Linked DNA regions of Oryctolagus cuniculus. Each later gene encodes a partner of the first gene's protein in a complex. Links are inferred from orthologs where the notes say so. Each region holds a gene or a part of one and is shown in the gene's direction. Other genes may lie near its edges. The genes, in order: RIMS2 and UNC13A.

What was found.
Region 2: the proteins of RIMS2 (region 1) and UNC13A are in contact, whole or in part, in a crystal structure (PDB 2CJS), measured with the Rattus norvegicus proteins. The link is inferred for Oryctolagus cuniculus from reciprocal best matches to the Homo sapiens genes RIMS2 and UNC13A. Residues at the interface, in XP_063118965.1 of Rattus norvegicus: Asp102, Gly103, Cys104, Ser109, Gln112, Val123, Leu125, Ser127, Asn128, Lys129, Val134, Met135, Trp136; in NP_074052.2 of Rattus norvegicus: Tyr23, Ile36, Trp65, Leu69, Ile70, Trp71, Asp72, Thr73, Met74.

Annotation. Positions count from the first base shown.
Region 1 is NC_091437.1:129,440,313-129,454,753, forward strand, and holds the end of RIMS2 (regulating synaptic membrane exocytosis protein 2), read left to right. Parts: intron 1-2,660; coding exon 2,661-2,773; intron 2,774-3,101; coding exon 3,102-3,203; intron 3,204-5,736; coding exon 5,737-5,876; intron 5,877-6,303; coding exon 6,304-6,522; 3' UTR 6,523-6,596; downstream 6,597-14,441. UniProt on the Homo sapiens protein: Rab effector involved in exocytosis. May act as scaffold protein. Plays a role in dendrite formation by melanocytes.
Region 2 is NC_091447.1:65,395,739-65,410,569, reverse strand, and holds part of UNC13A (protein unc-13 homolog A), read left to right. Parts: intron 1-2,592; coding exon 2,593-2,622; intron 2,623-2,864; coding exon 2,865-2,964; intron 2,965-4,222; coding exon 4,223-4,340; intron 4,341-5,153; coding exon 5,154-5,277; intron 5,278-5,739; coding exon 5,740-5,813; intron 5,814-6,156; coding exon 6,157-6,211; intron 6,212-6,765; coding exon 6,766-6,801; intron 6,802-7,194; coding exon 7,195-7,402; intron 7,403-9,662; coding exon 9,663-10,157; intron 10,158-10,361; coding exon 10,362-10,470; intron 10,471-11,095; coding exon 11,096-11,142; intron 11,143-11,281; coding exon 11,282-11,360; intron 11,361-11,787; coding exon 11,788-11,793; intron 11,794-12,026; coding exon 12,027-12,098; intron 12,099-12,181; coding exon 12,182-12,401; intron 12,402-13,526; coding exon 13,527-13,754; intron 13,755-13,968; coding exon 13,969-14,110; intron 14,111-14,184; coding exon 14,185-14,354; intron 14,355-14,831. UniProt on the Homo sapiens protein: Plays a role in vesicle maturation during exocytosis as a target of the diacylglycerol second messenger pathway.

The DNA of each region.
Region 1 (14,441 bases):
ACCACACCATGCAAACAAGACTAATTTTTAAATCTTTGCTTTAACAGTCATTACTAAAAACATGTGAATTTCTGATACCTAGTTTTTATGATGCAGTAGCAAATAATTCTAATTATTTAGTATTAATTTACTTGTGTTAAGTAGTCAAAAAGAAATGCCACCAAGAAAGTTGATAAGCCTTTTTATCTTTTAGTTATCATGGAGCTTTCCTTTGAATCAACTTCCAGAGATATTTTTAAAGCAGTTTAAAGAGTTTGTAGCTCTGTCACCAACAAATTAGCAGCAATTAGCAACTAGAGATCTGTGAATGGGACTGTAAAGAACATTGAGAGAGGAAAGTAGAGTGTACTGAACTCACTGTATCATCTCCATGGGAGCACTAGATGGTTAACAACATAGATGCTGCCAGTTCATGGATGTGAGGCCAGAGGAGCTATTGCCATAGCAGTAAAGGTGTACCCTAAGGATTGTGTGTCTAGCACAACTATGTAAATATAAGAGGCATAGATAGCTTCCATACATTTATAAAGACTTATGTGCTTTTAGAAATAGACTGAAGCATTTTTATTAATTGAATATTTAGCAGTTGAGGTGGGGGAAAGAAATCGATTTTATCAAGGAAGTTCATCAAGGAAGTCTATAATGAGGTGAAGGATCAAATGAAAAATAGATGTTCATCAAGCACACTGACCTTTGTACGATACTGTGTTAGGAAGATACTGTGACAGGCATAAACCTTTAAACTGTGGCTCCAGCTCCAGATATTTATAGTTTTAATGGAGAAATGAGATGAATATTCATAAATTTATCCAAAATATATCACCATACCTTCTAAGGTTTCAATTACCCTGCCATGAGTTGAGGCTGTAAGTCATACAAGGAAGTCAGTCTCAATACTTAAGGCCAAGAGTTTTTCAATCATATATACCTAGATTCTCATCTGTTTGGTTGTTTAATTTTCTTTTGGTGCTGTAGAACATTGAGCAAGTTATTTGATTTTTCTGAGCTTCATTTTAATTGATTGAGCTTAAGTATTTATTAATTACGTGCTTACAATATCCCATGCATAGCTCTAGGAGCTAGAGATCTAGCAGTGAGCCGGCCAGATGAAAGACCCTACCCTCATCAAACTTTCCACATAATGGAGAAGATAGGCAATAAACAAGAAAAAAAAATGTAAAATGTATGTATGTACAAGAAAATCTAATAAAATATATAGGAGATTAGGCATTGTAAGTACTAAGGAGAAAAATAAAGCAAGGAAGAGAGATACAGAGGATGGTCTCCTCTGTCTTCTCGTGGCCTTGCCTCTGCTTCCACTGCTGTCTCCTCTTCCTGTAAGGACACCAGGCATATTGGAATAGGGCTGCCCTCTTATGACCCCTTTTAGCTTTATCTCTTTAAAAGCTTCGTTCACATGCAGTCAGGTTGGGCATTCAAGCTTGAACACACGCATGTTGGGAGAAGACAACTCAGTCTATAACCGGGAAAGAAGAAAGATCAATGTCAGGTTGAACAACTGGAAGAACAGAGTTATCATTTATCAAAATGGGAATCCTCTGAGAGGACCAGAGTTTGTTGTGGAGGGGATTCAAGTTTCGCTTGAGTTTCAGGTTAAGTTTTCTGTCCTGTTATACAGATTTCCAAGCAGATCTGTAGACTAAGCAGTTGAAATGCAGTTCTGTGGCTCAAAAGAGAGGCCCGAGCTGGAGACAGCAGTCTAGGTAATAGCAGCAGAGATGGCATTTAAAACCTTGAGATTGTATGAGATCACCAAGGAAATTCAGACATAAAGAAAATGTAAGGATAGAGCTCCTGTATCTAGTGGCAGAACTGGCAAAGGAAACTAAGGAAGAGTGGCAGAAGGAAGAAAGAGGAAACTTAGGAGGCTATGGAATCCAAGAAGTGCAGAAGGTGTTCCAAGTAAGAGGGGCGGATCAACATACCCAGTACTGCTAATACATTAAGTTAGATGAATAATAACAGCTGGGCTTTCCACTGTGGTCATTAGGTAAGTTTGACTAATGATCAGAACAGGAAAGTTATAGTGGAGTGGTGAAAATGAAAAATGATTAGAGTTTCAAAAGGAAAGAAATGGACTACAGCACTCAGAAGTTTTGCAAGGAGTTCCCAGACAAGAAAAGGAATTGTAGCTGGAGAGAGGGAAGTAGAGTCAGGAAAGGGATTATTTTTTTTTTTTTTTTTTGGTCAAGTGACAGAATCAACAGCATATTTCTACATGGAGGGGAATGATCCAGAAGAGTTTTTTCATTTATAAAATGTGATAAACCATAGAACCGCTCTCACAGCTAAGCCAGGTGGATTAAATAGGATAAAGCCTGGCGTGAAGTAAGTGCTCAGTGCATGTGTAGACCGAGTGGTTTCACAGAGAAATCCCAGGCCCTGTCCTCCAGACCAAAGGAGAGAAAGACTAGGAGCTCGCAGTCCAGTGTGACAGGTGCTTCTGGTGGCTTACAGGGGCTGCTAGCCAACGTGGAGGAAGAGCCAAGGGAAGCAGAGTGGGATGTTGGGGATAAGTCTAAGTGGGCAGTCAGCCACACTGACTATCCTGACACATGAAGGAGGCTGGAGGGAGACTTGAGCTTGCCTGGAATATATGGATAGTGAAGGGTTAATCCCATATGTTGTTTTGCTTTCAGTCTGATTTTCCCGGGTGTCCGCCTGGCCTCTGACAGCCAATTCAGTGATTTCCTGGATGGCCTTGGGCCTGCTCAATTGGTAGGACGCCAGACCCTGGCGACACCTGCAATGGGTAAGAATTATTGCCACATTATTTCATTGTTTTCATGTTATGCTATTAAAAAGTACATTCTCTAAATTTCATAGAGTCTTTAACAATATTATCAGCAAGAATAAAGTTTCTTAGATTTTAACAGTAAGGAAGATTCCTGTTTTTCCGTTATAATTTTACTGCTTTTTTGAAGGAAGACATCATGGCTAAAATTTTAAATTTATTTGAATTTTTTAAGAAAATATATAGGAAATGATCAATGGTGTCATACCATAGTCTTTAGCACTAGCATTTTTCTTGCTGCGTTTGTATATTAAGACATGTTTGTTCCTTCTCCCCATGCCCATAGGTGACATCCAGGTAGGAATGATGGACAAAAAGGGACAGTTGGAGGTGGAAATCATTCGGGCCCGTGGCCTTGTTGTAAAACCAGGTTCCAAGACACTGCCAGGTAAAAACAGAAGAAATTTTCCTATTTTTGTCCATAATTTGTCTTATTTCCACTAACAAACTTTGGATTAAATGCTGAAAACTTTGTTTTTTAGACAATGAAGGATACTCAAAGATGGGTGAATTGTCTGACAGATTTGGGGCTGTAGTAATCATGGTGTTTATCCTAAGTGAGCATTTTTTTTTAAGATTGTCTATTTGAGAGTCACAGTTACAGAGCAACAGGGATGGAGAGGCAGGGAGGGAGAGCAAGCGAGACAGAGAGAGATCTCCCATCCTCAGGTTCACTCCCCAAATGGCTGCAGTAGCCACAGCTGGGCCAATCCGAAGCCAGGAGCCTGGAGCTTCTTTTGGGTCTCCCACAGGGTACAGGGGTCCAAGTACTTGGGCCATCTTCTACTGCCTTCCCACGGCACATTACAGGGAGCTGAATCGGAAGTGGGACAGCCAGACTCAACCCAGTGACCAGAAGGGATGCTGGCACTGCAGGCAGCAGCTTACCCCAGTGTGCCACAGTGCCAGCCCCATAAGTGAGCATTTCAACGAGGGTGAGCTGTTGGAGATAATGTTAATTGTTTTTTTTTTAACTTTTATTTAATGAATATAAATTTCCAAAGTACAGCTTATGGATTACAATGGCTTCCCCCCCATAACATCCCTCCCACCTGCAACCCTCCCCTTTCCCACTCCCTCTCCCCTTCCAATCACATCAAGCTTCACTTTTGATTCTCCTTATATACAGAAGATCAGTTTAGCATACAATAATGTTAATTGTTACCTATAATCACACGTGGTAGAAACCACTGCAAAGTCAAAGCTGCCACATTTGGATAATCCATTTCATCACAACATGCACATAAAAAGCTCTTTTTTCTTGTGAATTGGAGTTTGTGTTACTCTTCCGTTGATCCAGAGCTTCAGAATTTCTTCTGAGGACTCGCTAGTGCTCTGGGATTAGAGTAAAAGCCGGTGCAGGCCCCGCCCAGAGCATGAACCTGTTGTCTGCTGGGTATTCTAATGAGAAGACTTTCGCTTCCTATAATTTATAAACAAAAAGAGGCACTGTTATAAATTTTTATGCCACATATTTCCTGCTGAAATGTCATTACAGTCTAAGATGCCTGAAGCCATGGCAAATGTCACCGTGACTCCAAATGCATTGTGTAGAAGTTGTTGGAGCAGATGTATAAAAGAATCACTCAGGAGGATTCTGAAATAAATGCAGGTCTTAGCCTCAGCACCTTCACTGGTGACTTGTAATTTTGAATCTCTTAACTTCCCTATTCTTGCAGACATTTTGAATTATGTTATTCATTACTGTATGTTACTCATTGTACAGCCTTGAAGTGGTGATTAGGAGAATTGCCTTTGTATAAGTCTGGGAGCTAGTCAGCTCTCTGCTGTAAACAACACCATGATTTACACATGCCAGGAAATGATTCTGTTACTATGTTTTCCAGTTAAATGCTAAGCAGAATTCATAATTAGTTGCCTCTTCCCAGCTACTTTCAACATAACACATAAAACCCCATCACTGTCTTGTACCCACATGGTCACCAACAAGCAAAGGCTTTTGAGTGATAATAAGTGATGTGTGTCGCTCCCCGTCTTCGTGGGGGAACGACACTAAGCCCTGCCTAGGCTTCATATCCGAGTCACGGCACCATTATGTCGCTCCCCGTCTTCGTGGAGGAACGACACAGGACTCTGCGCTGTTCTTTCGTCTGCTCGGCCCTCCCCGGGTTTGCTGCTGGTTCTTCCCGGGTTGGCTACTATCCCTTCCACCTCCGTGGAAGGGCAGTTCCCCCTGGCCACATTCCCCACTTCCGCAGGGGAGCGGCACACCGCCGGCCGGCTCTCTCGGGGGCTGCACAGGCGTTCCCCTTAGATGTTCCTCTTAGATGTTCCTGGTGCATGCCGTCTCTCTCCTCCTTTATAGTCCTCCTCCGCCAATCCTAACTCGGCTGCCCACACGCCGAGTACGCTGCTCTCCAATCAGGAGCAAGTCCTACAGTTTATTGGTTGAACTGGAGGCAGCTGTGTAAAAGCTGTTTTCTTCTCTCCCAGCGCCATATTGTGGGAGAGCAGATGCATAGAATAAGTCTTAATTCCAGTAACTTAGTCCAGTCCGAGCTGCTCCCCACAGATGTGTGAGGATGGGTGAGTTAAAGCAGGTGTACTTACATTTATGTGTTGATGAGTTGAAGAATGAGTAAGACATCTCTCTTGAGTCCTGTTGGAACTGGAAGCATTTCTCATTGAATGCAATTTGTAAATCTATGTAACCTGTTGATAGCAAAATAATAATGAAGTCAGAGGTTTTGGCAACATTGCCTAAGACTCTCTGTATGGTTGACAGTTACCAATTGTCTATTGAGTAGTTTTTCAATAATGTGGGAAGGCCGGTGACTTTTGATGGCTGCTCACCCTCTCAGCCAGAGATTAACCCATTGCGGCTGTCAGCCAGGAGTACACTGGGCATGCCACCGCCACAGCTCATCACGTGCTCTCTCCTTTGTGCTCTCTTTCCCAAGCACCGTATGTCAAGGTGTATCTACTAGATAACGGAGTGTGCATAGCCAAAAAGAAAACAAAAGTGGCAAGAAAAACGCTGGAACCACTTTACCAGCAGCTGTTGTCTTTTGAAGAGAGTCCCCAAGGAAAAGTTCTACAGGTATTTACTTAGCTCTGTATCCCCTGGCCGCAGAACATCTTTTCACAGAGTCGGACTTTAGACCCAGTTATCTCTCCGTCACATTGTTTTCTGTTTCTCACGACTGAAATATGTTGGAAACATCGAAGCAGTGGTCAGTACCATAAAACTACACACACTGTCCTCTTCTTTAAATGACTCGCGAACACCCATCACACATAAACTCCAATCTCCCTGCACGGCTTATGATCTTAGCACTCTGGGACAGTTCTAATGTACTTTTGGATTCCAAAAGTTAAAGAAAGCTACTCCATTAGTCAAATGCCACTACTTAAGTTTGTCTTTGATGTTGGAACACTAACTGAATGTGTTTTATTGTTCAGAGTACTTTACAAGACTTTTGTTATATACATGATTATGCTAACATTATTTTTAATTTTGCCAACAGATTATCGTCTGGGGAGATTATGGTCGCATGGATCACAAATCCTTCATGGGAGTGGCCCAGATACTTTTAGATGAACTGGAACTATCCAATATGGTGATTGGATGGTTCAAACTTTTCCCCCCTTCCTCCCTAGTAGATCCAACTCTGGCCCCTCTGACGAGAAGAGCTTCCCAGTCATCTCTGGAAAGTTCAACTGGACCTTCTTACTCTCGTTCATAGCAGCTGTAAAACTGTTGTCACAGCAACCAGCGTTACAAAAAAAAAAAAAAATCACAGGTCGCCAACCCTGGTAACACTGCATGCTTAATGTTGTGTCTTCTGAGCCTGTTTCTAGGGATACCACGCGATCCTGTGTTCTCAGAGGAAGTTGCACACATTGTGCCCTAACGAAGGCCCTCAGGTGAAAGAGCAGAACTATGAAGAACTATCAGGTTTAGAGTTCAATGACACTCATTTTTGGTCCAATCTGAAGCCATGGATTAATCTCAAAGAATCAGTCAGTTTCATGCAACAGAAGCCCTTTTCAACGGCACCTTTATATTTTTATCTTACCTTTTTCTTCATTTATCTGAACCCAAAGCCCCGTTATGCCACAGAAATGGAGCTGTACAGCCATGAAGCTATGTGACAGATCTAGGAGAGAAGTTCTAGGAAGCATCAGGTGAAAAGCAGAAGACCAAAGAAGTGGTCAGGAACAAAGCATCAGCCCCCCTCTGGATGGTGAACCTGAGCGGTCAGTCCAGCAGGGACAGTGGCAGACTCGGTAGCTCCTGTCAACCCGTCATTCCCTAATGCCAAGAGACTCTGGACTCGGGAAACAAGATTCTGTGGCAATGCTGTCCTGAATGAAATTAAAGAAACTCTTTTTGCATGGACACCGATTAGCTGAATACTTAAATTATTTTCTTGGGGCTGCAACTTGCAAAAAAAAAAAAAACAATAAAAAATCAGCCATTTTCAACAATTTATATTATTTTTAAAAATAAATTTCACTAGTGCATGGTTTTAAAAGGGGAAGAGAATGCAACAGGGTGATACAAAGAACACACCATGTTTTATTCTTTAATCATAGTCTGTGTTTTGGCAGACATTACAAAATGAAAGTACTTTCTAGAAGATACTTAAAATTCTCTTTATGTGACAAATGAGTGTAATAGATTCAATTTATTTCCCTGTTAAATATACAAATCTTATGAAGTTCCATATGTGCAAATTTTTTGCATCTTCCTTCCTCTTCTCTCTCTTTCCTCTTCTCCCTCTTTTACTCTTTTCTTTCTCCCTACCAGAGTGAATCTTGTACTAAAAAGTTACAAATTTTTCATCTGATCCCCTCTTATACCCCATGTTTGATTCAGAGCTATCAAAGCTTCTGAATTTATGAATTTCTCAAGGGAAAACAACTATTTAAGAGCTTTCTTTTATTTCAAGCATGTTGAAAAGGATTTTGCAACATGACTTGGGAGTAAATTGAAGTAAGTCAGCATGTATTTGACAAAGAAGATATCTGAACTTTTGCAATTTATTTGTACAGTGCATGGTAATTTTTTGTTGACCCTCAAAGTTGAGTTTACAGGAAAATCCTAAAATCATGTGGCCATTGTAATGTCTAATGAATTTATTTTAACACCAGCATTATTCATACAGGGGTTAAAGTATTATTTATAGAAGGTCTTAGGTTTTGTTTTGTTTTCTAATCAGTTAAAGCAGTTTCTTTAGCCAGTTTCCATTTACTATGTGTATAGAAACACTGCTAAAAATTTGGAGCCCTGAAACACAGGGCTGTTTATTAATTCATTTTTTCTGTAGTGAAATTCAATTTTTCACAAATTATATTTCTAAAGAATATATAGTAAACATAAATTTGCAAGAATTTTAAAGCTCCAATTTTTAGGTGACTCAAAAAAAGTCAGTATGCCTATTAATAGTTCTTTGATGCCATCACCAAAAGTCTATGTGCAAATCCCTAAAGTCAAAACCCCTGCCTTTGCTTTTACAGACAGTGATTACCATTGGGTGGTGCTGCAAGGTCAAATTTCTCCTAAGTTCCCCTATCTGGGGGAAACGTCACTGGTTAACGTAATCAGCCACCCATATTTTCTGGTTGTTGACATACACTTTAATAATACATTCTTACAGATTGATTTAAATTTCTTATAATAGCTTTTGAAACACATATACATTCCATTTATTTAAAGTAAGGCCATGCACAATTTCTTTTCTTTGCTTTTGTTTTTATTTTATTTTTTTAATTCAGTGCTGACCATTAAAAACTGTTGTGCTTGATATGGTGCAAAAGTTAAAAATGAGTATCACTAAAAATGCCTTCTCTTTATGTGGTGCAATATGAAATACACCGAGACTGTGTCTTGACGTTCTGTGATCTATGATGGACCCAGGTAAAGTTGTTAAAAGAATGGATAAAACTTTATTGAAATAATTTAGACATCTGTGTACCAGCAACAATTGATTTAATAGGCCTGTAGTGTCTACACTACCCCTTAGAGTAAACATTCACCATTCTCCTGATAGCAAGATGCAGTCACATAATCTTTTGTGCATATTCCTATACAAATTATTTCTAATTTTAATAAGAAGGACATGACTGAATGGAATATTTGTACATACTTGTCATTATGCAGTATTTATTTAAAAGTTGGTGTATTTTTTTTTTTAATTTTCACATGTCTGCACCTCAACTTGTGGTTTAGTCATGTAAATAGCACCATGCCAGTGACCATTGCTGCCCTGTACATAGTATGTTTTCAAAGTAAAGGGAATTTCAGTTGGGAAAAAAAGGGCAGATTAGTCCTGTAACAAACACCAACTAATGTAAATCAAATTCATTCTGGTGATGGTATTAACACTTTCAATAAAACATTTTCTTTACAGATGTTGTGTGCAGTGCTTTCTCTGACTTCTTCCCACACATCCCCAGCCTGCCACAGCATGTCCCTAAACTCGCTTGTCATTTAAAGACCACACAGTCGTCATTTCCTACCTCTGCATGGCATAAGTGGACTGCTGGTCTTAGCCAGTAGCCCTCAGGAGAGCATTTTCTTCAAGTACCAAAGACTCTGCTCACTTCACTGGAAGTTGCTGGTTGTTTTTCGTTTGTTTGTTTTTGTTTTGTTTTGTTTTAAGGTTGTTACTGGATTGAGGTGTTCTCTGGTGAAATGATTCAGTGACAAGTTGTATGGGGGTGAGAGGAGTGAGATTCTGAGTTAGTCATGGCCGTGACTGATGGCAGTTACCAAGAATCATGCACAGGCTCTGCTCTTTTCCTGGGCAAAAAGATGCCAGAGGTGGCCGTGATGTATGCTTCTGCGTCTCTCTGCCCAGCGCTGTGGGGTGAGGAGCGCATGCTGCCAGGGCCTGGCTCCGCTGTGTGAGTGTAAATGGGTGAGAGCTTCTCCATATCCTTCTAGGGCGTTTCCCCAAAATGAGAGAAAAAGGGGCCTCAGCGGTGTCCCATCCCTGGCACCCTCCCCAGAGTCCACATGTAAGAGCTACTTTGGTCTCTCACTTCCCAGTTATCCAACTGAAACCCAATCCTAGTGCTCTCCGGTCTTCAAGACAACCATTTCCTCCATTCCCAAGGACTCAATTCCAGTCCAGTTGCCCAAACCACTCCCATATTTCATTATTCAGGATTTGCTCCCTCTTCTAGTGAGCTATATCTTGGCTGTTCATACACTCCCATGATAAAAAAAAAAAAAATCCCCTTGCCTCTCTCATATGCCTTCTCTTGAAAAGCCTGTCTTTCTCAAAAGTGGCCTATGGTAGTGCTTCTCATGACTCCCAGCTCAGAACTGAGCCATACTAGCAGTTCCCGACTGAACCCTAAAATTGTCGCTGCCGTTGATGCCAAGTCCTTCACTCTTCCAGGGACCCCAGGTGCCAGTGTTCCCCAAGCAACAATAAGGAGCATGAAGGTCCCTCTTGTAAGGTCTGTGACAGAATTGGGCAAGAAATCACCAATGCTGTGTGCCTATCCCAGACTAAACCTTTACTGTTCTGTACACATAAAATCATACTCTGTCCATGTTTGTTTACATTCACTCAACACATGGTGCCCTCCCTCAATGTCCTGCTGGCATCCATGGACTAAATAAATAGAAGTTCACACACCCACCTTTGGTTTATAAAATGAGAAGCAGTGTGCAGGAGGAAAATTTTAAGTAAATGAACCAATTTTTTAAAAAGTGTGCCACTCAAATTTTCCATGTGGTTTGACTCAGGTCATTTAATTGCTGTGGAATTCATTTCCTCATCTGGGAAATAAGGAGTTTGAGCTATATACTCTGCTTTCATTAAATCAACACTTAACCAACATATAAGCGTCTTTATGAACCATATCTATTCTTTTTAAAAAAAATTTATTTATCCGAAAGGCATAGCTACAGAGAAAGAGAGCAAGAGAGAGAGAGAGAGAGAGAAATCCTCCATCTGCTGGTTCACTCCCCAAATGGCCACAATGGTTGGAGCTGGACACGTTCAAAGCCAAGAGCCAAGAACTTCCAGGTCTCCCCTGTGGGTGCAGGGGCCCAAGTACTTGGGCCGTCTTCCTCTGTTTTCCCAGGCCATTAGCTGGGAGCTACATTGGAAGTAGAGCAGCCAGCAACTGGTGCCCATATGGGATGCTGGCACCACAAGCATTACCTGCTACAGCATAGCACTGGCCCCTTTTTTCTTCTGTTCTCTAAGAACCAAGAACAATGCTTACCACATAAGTACTCAATAAATAACTGTCAAGCAATGTTTAGTCTGTTATTTCTGAAGCACTAGTCCAGGCATAGTGAAGAGAACATTTCATTCTACTGAAGAAGATACAGGCAATGAAAGATGACAAGTGTGGTAACTTGCCTAACGTGAAGCCCTGAGGATAGAAGGGAGGATACAACACGGCATTTAACCCAATCAAAGCAGCAGAGGCTGACATCTAGCATGATGGATAGGGGTTAAATAACAGGAGATGATGGTAGCAGGAGGCCAGACTAAGATGCAGAATATTCCAGAGAGAAGAGCGAGGGAGGTATTTGAGAGAACAGACTCATGAGTCTATGATTTTTTATCTTACAGTATCTCTTACAGTGCTTGTGAGTGAATGAATAGTGAACAAGTAGATACAGATTTCTCCATCCTGGGCTGTTTCTAAAACCACTGAGAGCTTTTTGCTTGTACCCGATGTGAGATCTCTTTGTAAATGAGATAACTAGTAAGAGCTAATTCTCTAGGTAATTATATCTAACATGGTTCTGAGTGCGACTCAGCCCTTAATCCCATTAAATGGTTAGGTCTTTGACTACAGGAACCAAAGCCTGTGGTTCTGTTTTCAAGATTAAGACCTGAGCATATTGTAGGGCCTTAACTGTGAATGCCCCTTCCAGATATTGCCTGAAAGATCACTATCATCAACCTAGAAGATTCCCGAGTCCTGAAGTTTATGTTCATAATTTGCATAAGATTGAATCAAAAAGCCTATAGTGCCCTTCTGTCCTTTGAGCACCAGATTCCTGTCTTTTTGCCTTGGGACAGGGCACCCTGTGGTTCAGTGTGTTTCCTTTTCTGATCTATCCCTGTTGATCCCATGAGATCTGTCACGTTGTAAATAATCCCATTCCTCTGTCCCTATTGAATGATGTGGAGTTGTAGACTCTTAAACTAGGTCGACCTGTGCCCTTGCCTGTGAAGGTTCATTTTTGTTTTATTTACTTTGCTTTCCTGCCAAAGAGGCAGTCCATCTCCAGTGACAAAAACTATTAGATAGAAAAAATAGAAATGAGGAACTGTTGGTGGCTGCTGTTTTCTTATGTATGATAAACGTTCATTTATGATAGAAGAAACTCCACAAAGTCAACTGGAGGCAAGAATTGGAGAGACAGTCCTACAGATGTCACATTCTTGATTCCATTATGGTTGAGACCAGCTGCCTCTTTGCTCTTCCAAGACAGCCCACACATTTTAGCTGTAGTTAGTTGGGGTTCCTGCTGCTTGAGGTCATTAGTCTTAATACATTTGGTCAACAAGTCCAATGAAGTTGTAAGATATTGGAGGAATCATTGAGGTTACCTATGGCAACCTCATAACATTAGGCAAAACCCTTAATGGTGGGCATGCAGCCCCTGCTTGGTAAGTGGATGGAGAAATAAACTGTGCAATGCATTTCACATTTCACTCCATAGTTTGTATCTGGCTCTTCTTAACGCTTGGCCTAAATATCCCTTCCGGTATTCTGTACTTCCTGGGACTCGTACTGCCTTCTAGAAATACGGCCTGTCCCTCTCCCACAGATTGTCCTTCAAATATTTTAAATTCAATGACATTATTCCCAATTGATAGGAAGAAGAATAGCATGTTGGCTAAAAGTGCTTGTTCTGGATAAAAATGCCCAAGTTCAAGTATGTGTTCCCTCACTAGTCATGTAACCTTGATTGAGTCATTTATTCTGTTTTCTCATCTATACAATGAGGGAAGGGGAAATAATAATAATACCTGGCTCACCTGTTGAGAGGATGAAATGAAGTAACATGGAAAAGAGACTTAGCACAATATCAAGCATGTAAGACCAAATACGTGTTGACTATTGCTGTAGAGGTGAGATTTGCAATTATGCTTCTATTCTCTCTGGATGCTTCTAATCTCTCCAGCCACATGTCTCTTACTAGAAACCTTATCATCTTACTTATCCTCTATCCACCCTCTCCAGAATTAAGGAAATGACAGTAGATGGGTATGGGTCCAAGTACTATGGACTCTGCTTCTATAGGTGCCACTTGTGAACCTGTTGCCTCTTTTTGCAGCCACTTCACATGTCAGACTGGGCTACTGGTCAACCAAATCTCTCAGATTGGCCATCATGGCAATTGCTTGCTCATTCTGTCCTTGTGGCATTTCATTTTTAGCCATGCACACATTAAAAAGTTCATTCTTGCTAAATTGTTTCTTACTTGTTTTGTCTAGCATTCCAGTCTACCAAAACATTAGGACTCTCCTAAGCCTGGCATTCACGCTGTTGTATGCTAAAGCTTCAAAACTCACTAAACATACTACCTTCCACTACCCACAAACCTGATCAGGGCATTTCCTCAGTCTTCATCCATGTCTTTGTGAAATGTTGACCAAAGTAGGGCCAAGATCAAAGTTTCCTAACTCTCTGTGGGTAATATTAATGTGAATAATAATGACTGTCACGTAGCACCTTATAGTTTACAAAGTTAATATGTTATTTAAGTTAACCCTTATGATTACCTTATGAGGCAAGTAGTGTCACAGTCTTCAGTCTGCAGATAAGAAAATGGTAGTTCAAACAGTTTGACTAATGTGACCAAGGTCTCCCATCTGAGAAGTGGCATATCCAGATGCAACCCTGCATTCTCTGACAAGACACCAGGTTCTTCAATCCATTGTGAAGCCACTGCACCTGGCCATAATCCACCATGCACATCCCCCACTTTATCCATGGGGAATTCGTGCCTTTCTCAAATGACTTACTGAACTATAAATACGACCACAGACATCGACTATGTCTTCCTTGTAGAGCAGTCTAGGTGCTAACAAACAGCGTGGTGGGACAGGGTACAGCAAGGGAGGAACAGGTTGCTGGTTACGATAACACTGACGTTTTTGTGTTATAATTGGGATTTCATGAGAAAATGTATATGAGTTTGGCACAAAGTAGGCACACCCTAATGACAGCTCTTTTTCCTATCATGACCTGTTCTATAGTTTTACCATTTTCAGCTGAAGATCATTCTAGTTGTGGACAAGAGAAGCAAGAGAGAATTCGAAGACGTTCTAGCAATTTTTTTCCCATCATCACCTCTCTGCAGCAGAAGGGATTTCCCCTTCCTTGACAACTGCATGGGCCCGAAAGAACTGAAAGAGCTATATTTATCGCCGTCAGTGCTGCCCCAGCCTTACCAGAGTCACTGTTAAGAGTCTGAAAAAGCCCACCGCCCAAGGAACGACTCCAAGAGACTTTTCTCTCATGCAACCAGCAAAGGGTTAAAGATTTATTGATTATCCAGCATGCTGGGGATGCCTGATCATACAAAAGCAGAGCAGCCCCGAATAACCAAAGGTTAGGGTTTATAAAGGCAAAAACCGCAAAACCGGGAAGGGGGGAATACATGGTTGCT
Region 2 (14,831 bases), on another chromosome or scaffold:
GGAGGGGGCGGGAGGCGACGGCAGGCTGACCACGCACTGGCCCTTGGGAGGGGACCGGGATGACCCCTGGCCGCTCTCCCTCCGGGCTCCTACCCATGGGTCCACCCCAGCCCAGCCCCGCCCCGCCCCTTCCTGACCCCGCCCCCGGCCCGTGGTCCCTGTCCGTCTCCTGCCCTGGCCCGTCCCCTGGGCCGCGTGTCCACGTGGGGAGGGAGCTCAGACAACCGCGGGATAAGGGGCTGGGGGGGTGGGGACTCAGCTAAGAGCCGGAGGGGGCTGGAGGGGAAGGGGTGCTGGCTGGGGCCGGGTCTGCATCCAGGGGAGGGGACTTGGGGCAGTGAGGATGGAGGAGGCCTGGAAAAGTGGGAGGGGCCACCGCTGGGGGGTCACACAGCACTAGCCGGCCGCGTTTCCCCCCCCACCAGCCCCCACCTTGGAGCCCCGCTCAGGGCTGCGCCTTCAGAGCCGGACCACGCGCAGCCAACCTGATGCCTGGATCACCACAGCCGAAGCTCAGACCTTTAAGGCTGCTGCCCACGGGGTCACCCATGTGAGGGGCAGACAGGACACAGACAGGACACAGACAGGGCACAGACAGGACACAGACAGGACACAGACAGGGCACAGATAGGACACAGAGAGGACGCAGACAGCACACAGACAGGACACAGACAGAGCACAGACAGGGCACAGACAGGACACAGACAGGGCATAGAGAGGACACAGGACACAGACAGGGCACAGACAGGGCACAGACAGGGCAGACACAGGACACAGACAGGACACAGAGCACAGACAGGACACAGACAGGGCTCAGATAGGACACAGACAGGGCACAGACAGGACACAGGGCACAGACAGGACACAGACAGGGCACAGGGCACAGACAGGACACAGACAGGACACAAGACACAGACAGGGCAGACACAGGGCACAGACAGGGCACAGGACACAGACAGGACACAGACACAGGACACAGAGCACAGACAGGGCACAAGACACAGACAGGACACAGACAGGGCACAGGGCACAGACAGGACACAGGACACAGACAGGACACACAGACAGGACACAGAGCACAGACAGGACACAGGGCACAGGGCACAGGACAGGGCACAGGACACAGAGAGGACACAGACAGGACACAGACAGGGCACAGATAGGACACAGAAAGGACACAGACAGGGCACAGACAGGACACAAGACACAGACAGGACACAGGACACAGACAGGGCACAGACAGGACACAGACAGAGCACAGACAGGGCACAGACAGGACACAGACAGGGCATAGAGAGGACACAGGACACAGACAGGGCACAGACAGGGCACAGACAGGGCACAGACAGGACACAGGGCACAAACAGGGCACAGATAGGGCACAGACAGGGCACAGGACACAGACAGGGCACACGGCCTCTGCTTTGCGCCCACCTCACTGCCCTGGGTGACATCAAATAGCACCGGTGGGGGCATTGGCACAAGCAGGTTAAGCTCCTTCCCCTGCCCGCCTGCTCATGTGCCCCATCCCCTGTCAGCGCGCTGGTTCGAGTCCCGGCCCCGGCTCCTGGGCACGTGCACCCTGGGAGGCGCAGGTACCGGCTCCTCTGCCCACGCGGGGACCCATGTGGAGCTCCTGGCCTAGCCCCCGCCATTGCAGCCATTTTGGGGGTGACCCAGCCGATGGCAGCTCTGTCCCTGGCCCCTGCCCCCGTACCCCGCATTTGCATTTCTGTGGATTTTTTTGAAGACCCCCCCAATCATCTTTTGGCTGTGGTGCCTTTGTCAAATGTGCACGCGGAGAGGAGGGGCGGGGGGCCCGGAACAGGTGCGGGGGTGGGGGCAGGGCTAGAGCAAGTTCAGGGGCTGGCGCCGGCGGGGGGGGGTGCTTGCCGGGAGCAGGTGCAGGGGATGGGGCATGGGCGGGGCGGGGCGGGGGCGAGGCCAGGAGCAGGGAGTGGGGCTTGGTCGAGGCGGGGGCGGGGCCGGGACCAGGTGTGGGGGCGTGGGAGGGGCCTGGGGCATGTCGGGGGTGTGGGCGGGGCCGAGAGCAGGTGCAGGGGGCGGGGCGTGGGCGAGGCGGGAGTGCGAGGCGCGGCGCAGGGTGGTGGATCGCGGGGTGGGGGCTCTGAGGCCCAAGGCTCAGCCCTGGGGCCCTGGCAAGTATTCGGGTTCACCTCCCCGCCTCGGAGTGCCCTCCGGCCGCCCTGGGGACCCTAGGTGGGACGGACTCAGACCTTCAAGGACCGCGTCTCCTCCCCCTGACAGGGGACCACGGGAGAGCGTCTCTCTTCCTCCTCGATGCTCCTCTTCCTCCTCCCTCGGGGGCGATCCTGAGGACTCCCTGGAGGAGGCCCAGGACTCCTGCTGAATGGGGGGGGGGCTCGGCGGGCGGGGCAGCATCCCACCCCCTCCTGCCCCGGGGCTCGCTGTCTGATGGCCTGTGTCTCTCTCTCCCCTCCTCTCTGCCTCCGCCCCTCTCCCTGTCCTGTTGTTTCTGTCTCTCCCGGGGGTCTCGCGCCCCCTCTCCTGTCCGGATGTCGGGGTCTCCGTCTCCCTCCCGCCTGCTCCCTTCCCTGCCTCTGTCCACAGTCAAAAAAGCCAAGTTTGACGGTGCCCAAGGTGAGTGCCGTCTCCTGTCCTGCGCTGTCCATCTGTCCGTCTGTCGGGGAGGCTGGGGGCGGGCCTGAGCGGAGACTGACAGCTGGCCGCTGCACCTGCTGCGCGGGGGGCGGGGCCAACGGGGATCCAGATCGCCCTGAGCCAGGGTTCCCGCGGGGCCGGGTCGGAGCTGCCCAGGGCGGCCCGGATGTGCAGGAGCCCCATCCCCAGGCCCGGCGCTGACCCCGCTCTCCCGGCCGCAGAGAAGTTCAACACCTACGTGACGCTCAAGGTGCAGAATGTGAAGAGCACGACCGTGGCGGTGCGCGGGAGCCAGCCCAGCTGGGAGCAGGACTTCATGTTGTGAGCGCCCGCCCCGCCCAGGCCCCGCCCAGCCCTGCCTCCTGTGCCCTCCACCCCCCACGATCTCTGCTCAGGGCAGCCAGGGGCCTAATTTAAAACCTGCAGTCCTAGTCCACTGCTCCCGGCCCAGGCCTGGCTGCGGCTCCTGGACCTCGGACAGTGGCCAGAGCCCTCCGTACGCCCCCACGCGCCTGCTCGCCTGGGGCCCCCTCGCCTCCTGCGCGCACCCAGCTTGAACCCGCCCCAGGAATCCCGCACACCCCAGCTGGCTCCTCCCCAGGGAAGCCCACCCTGACTGCTGGCCCCAAGCTGTGATTTTTTTTTAAAGATTTATTTATGGCCGGCGCCGCGGCTCACTAGGCTAATCCTCCACCTTGCGGCGCCGGCACACAGGGTTCTAGTCCCGGTCGGGGCGCTGGATTCTGTCCCGGTTGCCCCTCTTCCAGGCCAGCTCTCTGCTGTGGCCAGGGAGTGCAGTGGAGGATGGCCCAAGTCCTTGGGCCCTGCACCCCATGGGAGACCAGGAGAAGCACCTGGCTCCTGCCATCGGATCAGCACGGTGTGCCGGCCGCAGTGCGCTGGCCGTGGCGGCCATTGGAGGGTGAACCAACGGCAAAGGAAGACCTTTCTCTCTGTCTCTCTCTCTCACTGTCCACTCTGCCTGTCAAAAAAAAATAAAATAAAATAAAAAAAGATTTATTTATTTGAGAGGCAGAGTTAGAGAGAGAGACAGGCAGAGCCTCCTTCCGCTGGTTCACTCCCCAGATGGCCGAAACGGCCGGAGCTGAGCTGATCCGAAGCTAGGAGCCAGGAGCTCCATCCGGGTCTCCCACGTGGGTGCAGGGGTCCAGGGACTTGGGCCATCTTCCACTGCTTTCCCAGGCTACAGCAGAGAGCTGGATGGGAAGTGGAGCAGCCAGGACTCGAACCGGCTCCCCTGTGGGACACGGGCACTGCAGGTGGCAGCTTCACCACCAGGCCCCAGCGCCAGCCGCTGCTGTGGGTCTCTGTGTTCTGAGTTCGCCCACGCGCAGGGTCTCCCGCTCCCCAGGCCCCCACCTGGGCGTCATTCCAGTGAGAAGCCAGCAGGGGGAGTGCTTGAGCCGCGGGCGCGCCTGGTGGCCCTGCTGGGGTGTTGGGGCCCCTTCCCGGCCCGCCCAGCAGGGGGAGGCGCCCGCCGCGCTCTGCTGTCCTGGGGACTGGGCTGACCTCTGAGCCTCCGTCCCCTCCCCGGGGGGGACCTCCCCTCTCCCCACAGCGAGATCAACCGGCTGGACCTGGGGCTGACGGTGGAGGTGTGGAACAAGGGCCTCATCTGGGACACCATGGTGGGCACCGTGTGGATCCCGCTGCGCACCATCCGCCAGTCCAATGAGGTGGGCACAGGGCCCGGGGGCTCCTGGCCTACACCCTGCGTTCCGCTCAAGGAGCAAGGACTCACATCTGGTCAAGGGCCCCATCGGCAAGTCGCTCCTGGGGGCCGAAACATACATACGTGGTCCCCCTCCAGCTGCAAGGCACTAGGGACACGCGGCCGGAGCTAGGCAGCCCTGGACCCAGCTCCGACATGTTACGGCCCCAGGAGGAGTAAGGGGCCACGTATCGTGGGTCCCAGCTGGGCAGCAGGTGCTGGACCAGAACCTGTCAGTCACCTCCCCGCCCCCACAGCCCAGTCCCTGGGCCTCGGCCCTCCAAGCCCTCCTCACCTCGGTGGGATCCCCCTTGTGAGACCCTGCGCACACCTGGCCCCCTTGGCCACACCCCCAGTGCACCCTCTGTGGCCCCTCCTCCAGGAAGCCCTCCAAGCTCCCCCCTGGGTCCTCCAGCCCTCCCCCTGGCCTGGCCTGGACCTCCCAGGCCTGGGGTTGCCTGTGTCCACTCTTGCTCCTCCCGGCTCAGGGCGCACAGAGGAAGGAGGTGTGACAGTCCATGCGAAGCCTTCGGGGACCCCGGGTTCCTGGTACCCTAAGAGACGGAGATGCCAGGGGTCAGAGTGGCCCCGTCTGCTCAGTGCCTCGCTGGCCCTGAACTGGGAGAGGGGGGTCCTCCCTGCACAGTGGGAGGAGCCAGGCTCCCCCACCCCCTCCTCTGAGGTGGGCGTGGCCATGCCGGGCTGGGGCCCCTGGGACTGAGTCGTGACCTGGGCCGCCAGGTGCAGCAGGTGCACCACCCCCCACCGTGTCCCGCAGGAGGGCCCCGGGGAGTGGCTGACGCTCGACTCCCAGGTCATCATGGCCGACAGCGAGATCTGCGGCACCAAGGACCCCACCTTCCACCGCATCCTGCTGGACACGCGCTTCGAGCTGCCCCTGGGTCAGTGCCTGAGGCGCGGGAGCCCCGCCTCTCGGCTCACCTGCCCCTCTAGGGGGGCGCCCGGGGTGGGGTGGGGGCTTGGGGTGAGCACCAGAGCTGGGCCAGGTTGGAGGGCGGGGCCAGGACAGACAGGGGGCGGAGACTCAGCCGGCGTGGGGCCAGGCCTGGGGGCAGGATCAGGGCTCCTCCAACGTGTGGTCAAGATTGGGGTCGGAGCCAGTGCTCAGTCGGGGTGGAGCCAGGCCTGGGGGCGGGGCCGAGGACTCAGCTGGGGCAGGGCCAGGCCTGGGTGGGGGCAGAGCCAGGCTGGGGGCTTGGCCAGGAGCTCAGTAGGGGCGGGGCCAGGCCGGGGTTGGAGCCGGGGTGGGGCCAGGCTGGGGCGGGACTCAGCTAGGGCGGGGCTTGGCTAGGGCGGGGCCTGGGCGGGGGCGGGGCCGGGCTCACTGGTCACTCTGCCTGCAGACATCCCGGAGGAGGAGGCGCGCTACTGGGCCAAGAAGCTGGAGCAGCTGAACGCCATGCGCGACCAGGACGAGGTGGGCGCTGGCGGCTGGGCCGGGATCCGCCGGGTCTTCCCGCCCCCTCCACTCGCTGGCCCTGGTCCCGACTCGGCTCCGTGTCACCCTCTGCGGGCTCCCAGCTCCGGCCACTGCGGCTCCTGGGCCCTCACCCGCTGCTTCCCCAGGCCACAGCAGGGCGCTGGGTCGGAAGTGGGGCAGCTGGGACTCGAACCGGCGCCCACCGGGGGTGCCGGGGCCCGTGACACCGGGCCTACCGGCTGCACCTGCACCCTTGTCCAGAGGGGAGGCTGGGACAGGCCCGGGGGCCAGGAAGCCCCCAGCCTCCCGGCCGCCCCGCGACAGGCGCCCTCTCCCGCAGTATTCGTTCTCGGACGAGCAGGATAAGCCGCTGCCAGCGCCCAGCAACCAGTGCTGTGAGTGTGCGGGGCCCCGCCCCCTGGCCCCGCCCCCACAGCAACTCGGGGGTGACACGTGGTCCCTGGAGGGGCTCCCGCGCCCCCTCCCTAGCGCACAGGGCCATGGGGGGGGGGAGACCCGGGCAGGTGCACTGGAGCCAGCGCGCCCGGGCCCAGTGTCGGCGCCGGGCAGAGTCCCTGGGCTGCCGCGGGCACTGGCCACGGGGAGTGGGTCCTCCCCGCGGCCCCTGCCTCCCACGCTGTGCGCCTTCGGGCTGCTGGCCGCCCCTCGCTGGGTCCCCGGCGGAGGCTGGAGGCTGAGCGCTCCTAGGCTGGGGGGGCGCTGGCCTCGGACCCCGAAGTCAGAAATCCACGCACCCACGCCCCGCACCCTGTGTGTCCACCCCGAGGCGCCTTGTGGCCTCACGGGAAATCGGGAATTCCCCCCCCCCCCGTCATCCTCCCATGAGCTGAGCGAAGGGTCAGGGTGGAGGGGAGGGACTCGCGGCTGGGGGAGGGGCGCCCCTACGCCCCGCCCCGCTGTTCACCGCCCCTGCCCCTTCCCTCCCCAGGCAACTGGAATTACTTCGGCTGGGGCGAGCAGCAGAGTAAGTTAGGCTCGGGGGTCTCGGCGCCAGCCCCACCCCGCGGGAGCCGGGGGCGGGGCCGGGGCGGGGCTAGTCCTTCAGCTCGGGTGGGGGTGTGGCTCTGCCTCTGGGGCCAGGCTGAGGGCTCAGCAGGCTTCGCGACCCCTCCTCGGCCCCCTCCCCATCCTCACCCCGCCCCTCCCCGTCCTCACCCCGCCCCTCCCCATCCTCACCCCGCCCCTCCCTGTCCTCACCCCGCCCCTCCCCATCCTCACCCCGCCCCTCCCCATCCTCACCCCGCCCCTCCCCGTCCTCACCCCGCCCCTCCCCATCCTCACCCCGCCCCTCCCCGTCCTCACCCCGCCCCTCCCTGTCCTCACCCCGCCCCTCCCCATCCTCACCCCGCCCCCCCAGACGACGACCCCGACAGCGCCGTGGACGACCGCGACAGCGACTATCGCAGCGAGACGAGCAACAGCATGCCGCCGCCCTACTACACCACGTCGCAGCCCAACGCCTCGGTGCACCAGTACGCCGTGCGCCCGCCGCCCCTGGGCTCGCGCGAGTCCTACAGCGACTCGGTGCCCAGCTACGACGACTTCTCCGAGCCGCGGGCGCTCAGGTAGCGGCGGCCCCGCCTCCCGCCGTGGGCGTGGCCCGGGCGGCCTCCCGGTGGGCGTGGCCTATAGTGTGGGCGTGGACCCGCACCCCATGGGCCCTGGTCTTACAATGTGGGTGTGGCCTCCCTGCCCGGTGGGCGTGGTGTCCTCCAGGTGGGCATGGCCTCCGCCGTTCTCGCCCGCACAACCGGGCCACGGTGAGTCAGGGGCGGCCACAGGTTTACCCGGCGACCGTCTCCACTCCCTTGAATCCAGGTCCTCTGGCCCTTGTGGGCCAGGCACTGCCCGGCGCTGGGTTGCTCCGTGAGCCTGGAGTCTGCTCCGGCCCCCCGCCCCCGCCCGCCCTGGCCGGATGGGCAGGTTGGACACTGAGCAACGCGGTGTTAGGCAGGCCGAGTGTTCGGAAGGCACCGGGCGGTGTCCCGCAGGGCCCACAGGGGAACAGGTGGCGTCTGGAATGGGCTCCGTGTGGCCGAACCGTCGCCCAGAGAGGGCAGGGCGTGGCCACCGCGAGGACGAGCGTTAGCAGGTGTCCAGCAGGGGGCGCTGTGGTGCTGGCGGTAGCGCGGACGCTGGGTGATTGACGTGTGTGGGGCCTCCCCGGGAGTCTGCCCGCGCTGACATTTCCCGGGAAGGAGTGGGGGGTAGGAAGCAGGCCCTCAGCTGACCCTGGGCCGTGGCCATGGGTGAGGGAGACTGCCCAGGCTGCCCGGCACTGGACATTCTGGGGGAGACAGGCCAGACACGGACACTCTTCTCCCGCTCCGTGGGGCTCAGCTGGCGGGAGGCCTGCAGAGGGCTTCCTGGAGGAGGGTGCATGGAAGCCCACCAACGAGGCCTCCCCAGAGGGAAAGCGAGTTCCAGCGTGAGGCTGGAGGGCTGGATGGCACCGGGTCATGCAGGAAGGGCCTGGAGGGGGCGAGGACCGAGGAGCCTGGTGGAGGCCCCGACTGGATCAGGTCCCCAAGTCTTGGAGACCACCTAGTCTCAGGTCCAAGCTCAGGGAAGCAGGCCCCGCCCAGCCCGGGGGGGCCGGTGACACGGCCGGTGTGCACTCTGAATTTTCACCGGCAGGGGGAGCTCTGGTCCCTTCCTGCCTCCCAGCTGTTCCTAGGGGCAGCCCAGGATCAGAGGGAGACCTCCGCACGCCCCCCACCCCCGCCGGTCCCTACAACATCCTGGCGGCCAGGGGACCGAGTCACAGCCTGGAGAGGGTTTTTTTTTTTTTTTATTTGAGAGGCAGAGTTATAGAGAGAGAGGGGGAGAGAGAGAGAGAGGTCTTCCATCCGCTGGTTCCCTGACCAAATGCTCTCAATGACCGGAGCTGAGCTGATCTGAAGCCAGGAACCAGGAGCTGCTTCTGGGTCTCCCACGTGGGTGCAGGGCCCCAAGCGCTTCGGCCATCTTCTACTGCTTTCCCAGGCCACAGCAGAGAGCTGGATGGGAAGTGGAGCAGCCGGGACTCCAACCGGCATCCGTATGGGATGCCGGCACTGCAGGCGGGGGCTTTACCCGCTACACCTCGCGGCCCCAGACGGGTGGTATTTTTAAGAGCGGCGGTGATCCAGGCCAGCTCTCTGCTATGGCCAGGGAGTGCAGTAGAGGATGGCCCAGGTGCTTGGGCCCTGCATCCCATGGGAGACCAGGAAAAGCACCTGGATCCTGGCTCCTGCCATCGGATCAGCGCGGTGCGCCGGCTGCAGCGGCGGCCATTGGAGGGTGAACCAACGGCAAAGGAAGACCTTTCTCTCTCTGTCTCTCTCTCTCACTGTCCACTCTGCCTGTCAAAAAAAAAAAAAAAGAGCGGCGGTGATAATGTTGGTTGAGTGGCTGGAGGGTGGCCCCGGCTCATCCTGTCCGTGCTTGGGGGCGGGGCCTGAGCTGGTCGGGGAGTGCAGGAGACCCCCGAAGACATGACAAAGCCTGTGTGGAGTTGGGCAGGTGAAGCAGGTGCAAAGGCCCGGGGGTGGGCTCTGGGGGAGCGGCGAGGACGCTGGAGGGGTGGGGTGAGGGCAGGTGCGGTGGGAGAGGCCGGCGGGGGCCTCCAAGGGGAGCGAGGGGAACCCCACTCAGGATGGGCGCTCTGTCCACAGGGCGTGGGCGGGGTGTGGGTAGAGAGGGCGGGGCGTGGGCGGGGCTCAGGCGGCCCCACCCCCGCTGCAGGATCCGTGCTATGTCCACGTGTGTGGGCGGGGCTGGGCGCCAGTGGGGGGGCTTCGGCGGCCTGGCCCCCGATCCTGAGCCCCCGCCGCCGTCCCGCAGCCCCACGGGCAGCAGCCGCTACGCCTCCTCCGGGGAGCTGAGCCAGGGCAGCTCGCAGCTGAGCGAGGACTTCGACCCCGAGGAGCAGAGCCTGCGGGGCTCGGAGCTGGGCGACGAGCGGGACCCGGACTCCTACCACTCGTGCCACAGCTCGGTGAGCTGCAAAGACTCGCCGCGCTGGGACCAGGATGAGGAGCTGGACGAGGACCTGGAGGACTTCCTGGAGGAGGAGGAGCCGCTGCCCGAGGAGGAGGAGGAGGAGGAGGAAGAAGAGGAGGAGGAGGAGGAGGAGGAGGAGGTGCCGGACGACGTGGGCAGCTACGCCCAGCGCGCGGAGGCGGCCGTGACCGAGCCCAAGGACTTCAAACGAATCAGCTTCCCGGCGGCCGCCCCCGGCGAGGACACGGCCCCCGCCCCGCCCTCTGAGGCCACGCCCGCCGCGCCCGAGGAGCTGCCCAGAGCCGAGCCGGCTGAGCCCCCCACGGCCGAGGAGAGGTAGCCACGGGGGCTGGGGGCTGGGGAGGTCAGAGGTCAGGGAGCGGTCCCAGGGCTGGGGCCGGAGGCGGGGTCAGGGCAGCTGGGCCAGCCAGGGGGGGGCCGCGGGCCAGGAGGGAGGGCATCCAAGGGGCTGGCGGAGTGGGGGGCCCAGGCCGGGAGGCGCGGAGAGCCGGCCCGGAGCCCGCGCGGCCCCTGCCTCAGTTTCAGGCCCCGAGAGGACGAGGAGGACCGGCAGGGCCAGGACTCGATGTCCAGGGCCAAGGCCAACTGGCTGCGGGCCTTCAACAAGGTGCGGCTGCAGCTGCAGGAGGTGAGCGAGCGCCCCGGCCCCGCCCATGCCAGAAGGCCCAGCCCATGCGGGCCCCACGCCCCGCCCACTCTGGCCCCGCCCATGCCAGCCAGGCCCCGCCCACACTCCCTCCCACTCCTGCCCGGCCCCTCCCATGCCAGACCAGCTCCACCCACGGCCTGTGCATGCTGGGCCGGCCCCGCCCACTTCAACTAGGCCTCACCTACACCATCCAGGCCCCGCCCACGCCAGCTCCGTCAGCCCAGTGTTCCTCTCAAATCAGCATGGCCACACCCTACACCCTACCCACACCTTCCTGGCCACGCCCAATGCCCAATACCACACCCATCCGAGCTAAGCCACGCCCAAAGCCACGCCCAGTGGTCACCCTGGCCACGCCCAGTGCTCTGTGCACACCCTGCCTCTGTCCCGCCTTTGCTGGCCTCACCAGTGCTCAGCCTAAACGCCCTCAATGCCTCTACCAGCCTGGCCCTGCCCGGGGCTCCGTGCGCATGCGCCAGCCCCAGTCCCATCAGCCCCCTGGTCACGCCCACGCCACGCCCACACGGGGCCGGCCCCGCCCACGCCCTGCACCTCCTGCTCCCCGGCCACGCTGACCACACCCGTCCATCCGACTGTCCCGCAGGCTCGGGGGGCAGGAGAGATGTCCAACTCGCTGTGGTTCAAAGGCGGGTGAGTGGGGCCCCCGGGCGAGGGGCGGGGAGCAGCGCCCAACCCACCCCGCGATGCCCGCCTCGAACCAGCGTGGGGTCCTGGGGCGAGGGGCAGTCGGGTGCGGCCGAGCCTCAGGCGGGGCCCTGGGTCTCCGCAGCCCCGGGGGCGGCCTGATCATCATCGACAGCATGCCGGACATCCGCAAGAGGAAGCCCATCCCGCTCGTGAGCGACCTGGTGAGCGCCGTCGGACGGGGCGGGGCACAGACCCCGCCCCCCCACTGCAGGGGCGGATCAGGGGCGGGGGGCCTGGGGTCAGGAGCGAGGGGCGGACCTGGGGGCTGGGGTAAACTTGGGGCCTGGGCGCGGACCTGGGGGCGGGGGGGGGCAGGGGGCGGACCTGGGAGCTGGAATGGGTGGGGGCTGGGAGCCAGGGGCAGGCCTGGGGGCCGGAGGCAGGGGCTGGGGGTGGACCTGGGAGCGGGGGGCTGGGGCCGAGGAGCGGGGTGGGGGGCGGGGGCCAGGGATGGACCTGGGGGCTGGAGCTGGGGCTGGAGGCCGGGGGCCAGAGGGGACATGGGGACCAGAGGCCCGGGCTGGCCAAGCCGACCTCCGCGGCTAACGCGGTCTGACTTCCGCCCCGTGTGCTGCGTGGACCCTTCAGGCCATGGTGAGTGACCTGGGTCTCCGCCCACCCCGGACCCCTCCATGCAGCCCTGACCCACCCGTGGGCTCTGGGAGGACCCCGCGGGGAGGGGGCGCCCAGGACCCGCTCTGACCGGGATCCTCTGTCGCCTCCTGCTCTGACGCTGCCCCCGGCGGGCGGTCGTGGCTGCGAATGCGTCCTGCGGCCTCGTTGGCCCCTCGCTGCCCGGGACCCCCGGGCGCCTGCGGCCCGCACAGTCGCTGGTGCAGTCCCGGAAGGCGGGCATCACGTCGGCCCTGGCGTCCAGCACGCTTAACAACGAGGAGCTGGTGCGTGGGCCGCGGCGGCGTCGGCGGGCTGGGACCCCCCCCCCACCCCGGGAGCGCCGCACAAGCCCCTCCCTCCCCCGCAGAAGAACCACGTGTACAAGAAGACCCTGCAGGCGCTGATCTACCCCATCTCGTGCACCACGCCGCACAACTTCGAGGTGTGGACGGCGACCACGCCCACCTACTGCTACGAGTGCGAGGGGCTGTTGTGGGGCATCGCGAGGCAGGGCATGCGCTGCACCGAGTGCGGGGTCAAGTGCCACGAGAAGTGCCAGGACCTGCTCAACGCCGACTGCCTGCAGCGTGAGTGGGGCGGGGCCGGAAGCGCGGGGCAGGGCAGTGGTGGGGCGGGGCAACAAGGCAGAAGGCGGCCGGAGGGGCGGGGTGGGGCGATGGGGCGGGACCACTCAGAGGGGCGGGGCAGCAGCAGTGGGGCGGGGCGGGCCCGGGACAGGGCAGGGGTGGGACCGGGACGGGGGCGAGGCCTGGGCGGGGCTGTGGCGATGGGGCACGGAAGGGCCAGGCCAGAGGGGCAGGGCAGTGTGAGTGGGACGGGGCCAGGGGAGGGGTGGCGGGGCAGGGCGGGGCCGGCGGGGCTGGCGCTGCGGCAGTGGGGCGGGGCAGGGTGGGGCAGGGCAACAAGGCAGAGTGGGGCCAGGCCAGAGGGGCGGGGCAGCAGCAGTGGGGTGCGGTGGGGCAGGGTGGGGGTGGGGCCATGGCAATGGGGCGGGGTAGGGCCAGAGGGGCAGGGCAGCAGTGAAGAGGCGGGGCAGGGCTCAAAGTCCTGGGGTGGGGCGGAGGCAATGAGACAGGGCGGGGCCAGAGGGCGGGGTGGGGCCTCGGCATGGGCGGGGTTGGAGGGCGGCGAGGCAGGGCCCTTGGGGGCGGGGCTGGCGGTGCCCAGGACAGTGAGGCCGCGTCCACAGGCAAAGCGGAAAAGAGCTCCAAGCACGGGACCGAGGGGCGGGACTGGAGGGGTGGGTGGGGCCTCGATGTGGGCGGGGCCGGAGGGGCGGGTCAGTGGCAGCAGGGCGACAGGGCAGGGCATGGCCTGGCGGGACGGGGTGGAGCAAGGCCATAATGGGTGGGACAGGACCAGAGGAGTGGGACAGCAGAGGTGGGTGGGACTTCAGGGGGCGGTGAGGTGCTGGAGGGGGCTGGGTCATGCCAGAGGGGCAGGGCGGGGCCGCAGGGGCGGGGCGTGGGCTGGGCTGGGCCTCGGTATTTGCCCGGCCTCCGTGAGGCGGGGCCCTCGGGGCGGGGCTGGCGGTGCCCGGGACAGTGCGGCCGCGTCCACAGGCGCCGCGGAGAAGAGCTCCAAGCTTGGGGCCGAGGGGAGGGGCCGGAGGGGCGGGGCGGGGCCTCGGCGTGGGCGGGGCCCTCGGGGCGGGGCTGGCGGTGCCCGGGACAGTGCGGCCGTGTCCACAGGCGCCGCGGAGAAGAGCTCCAAGCACGGGGCGGAGGACCGCACGCAGAACATCATCATGGTGCTCAAGGACCGCATGAAGATCCGCGAGCGCAACAAGCCCGAGATCTTCGCGCTCATCCAGGAGGTGTTCGCCGTGAGCAAGAGCGCGCACGCGCAGCAGATGAAGGCCGTGAAGCAGAGCGTGCTGGACGGCACGTCCAAGTGGTCGGCCAAGATCAGCATCACTGGTGCGCACGCGCGCGGCGGCCAGCAGGGGGCGCGCCCGCCCAGCCCCGGTGTCCGAGGGCGGCGCTGAGCGCGATGCGGCCGGCAGGGGACGCCCTGGGCAGCGGGGACTGGGACTTCTGGGGACCTCGGGCCCAGGGCGTGCGGCGAGGGCTCCCCGCCCAGCAGGCCTCGTCCCCGTGCCTAGCCCCGGCCCCTGTCCTGTGTGTGTTCCAGTGGTCTGTGCCCAGGGCCTGCAGGCCAAGGACAAGACGGGGTCCAGTGACCCCTACGTCACGGTGCAGGTCGGGAAGACCAAGAAGCGCACGAAGACCATCTACGGGAACCTGAACCCTGTGTGGGAGGAGAATTTCCACTTGTGAGCGCCCGGCCTGGGGGTGGGGCTCCCGGCGGCCCCGCCCCTGCCTGACCACACCCCGCCCCGCTCCGCAGCGAGTGCCACAACTCCTCGGACCGCATCAAGGTGCGAGTGTGGGACGAGGACGATGACATCAAGTCCCGCGTGAAGCAGCGGTTCAAGCGCGAGTCCGACGACTTCCTGGGGCAGACGATCATCGAGGTGCGCACGCTCAGCGGCGAGATGGACGTGTGGTACAACCTGGGTGAGCAGGGGGCGGGGCGGGCGTGGGCGGGGCCCGGGAGGGGCGGGGCGGAGCCCAGGGAGCCAGCCAGAGATCAAAGACCTTGTGTGGTACAACCTGGGTGGGCGGGGGGGGGGGGGCCGGGGCTCAGGGCGGAGCGGGGCGGGGCCCAAGGATCCAGCAGAGGAGTCTGGTGGGGGAGCCGAATCAGAGGGTGGAGGCCAAGTCTGTGACTCCCAGCCCGAGGGAGGAGGCAGAGCCCCCGAGCCCCAGGCTGCTGTGGGCAGGTGTCTGGGCTGAGGGAGCCCAGGACACTCTGAGTTCCGGTGGGGCAGGGGGGCTCACCCCAGGAATCCCGGGGACCCGGTCTGAGGGGGGAGGCGCGGACCCCGGACTGAGGAGGGAGGCCGAGACCCTGGCACTGACCCCGGTCTGAGGGCAGAGCGCCTAAGACGTTCTAGTCCGAGGGAGGAGGCACAAGGCTGGGAGCTCAACGAG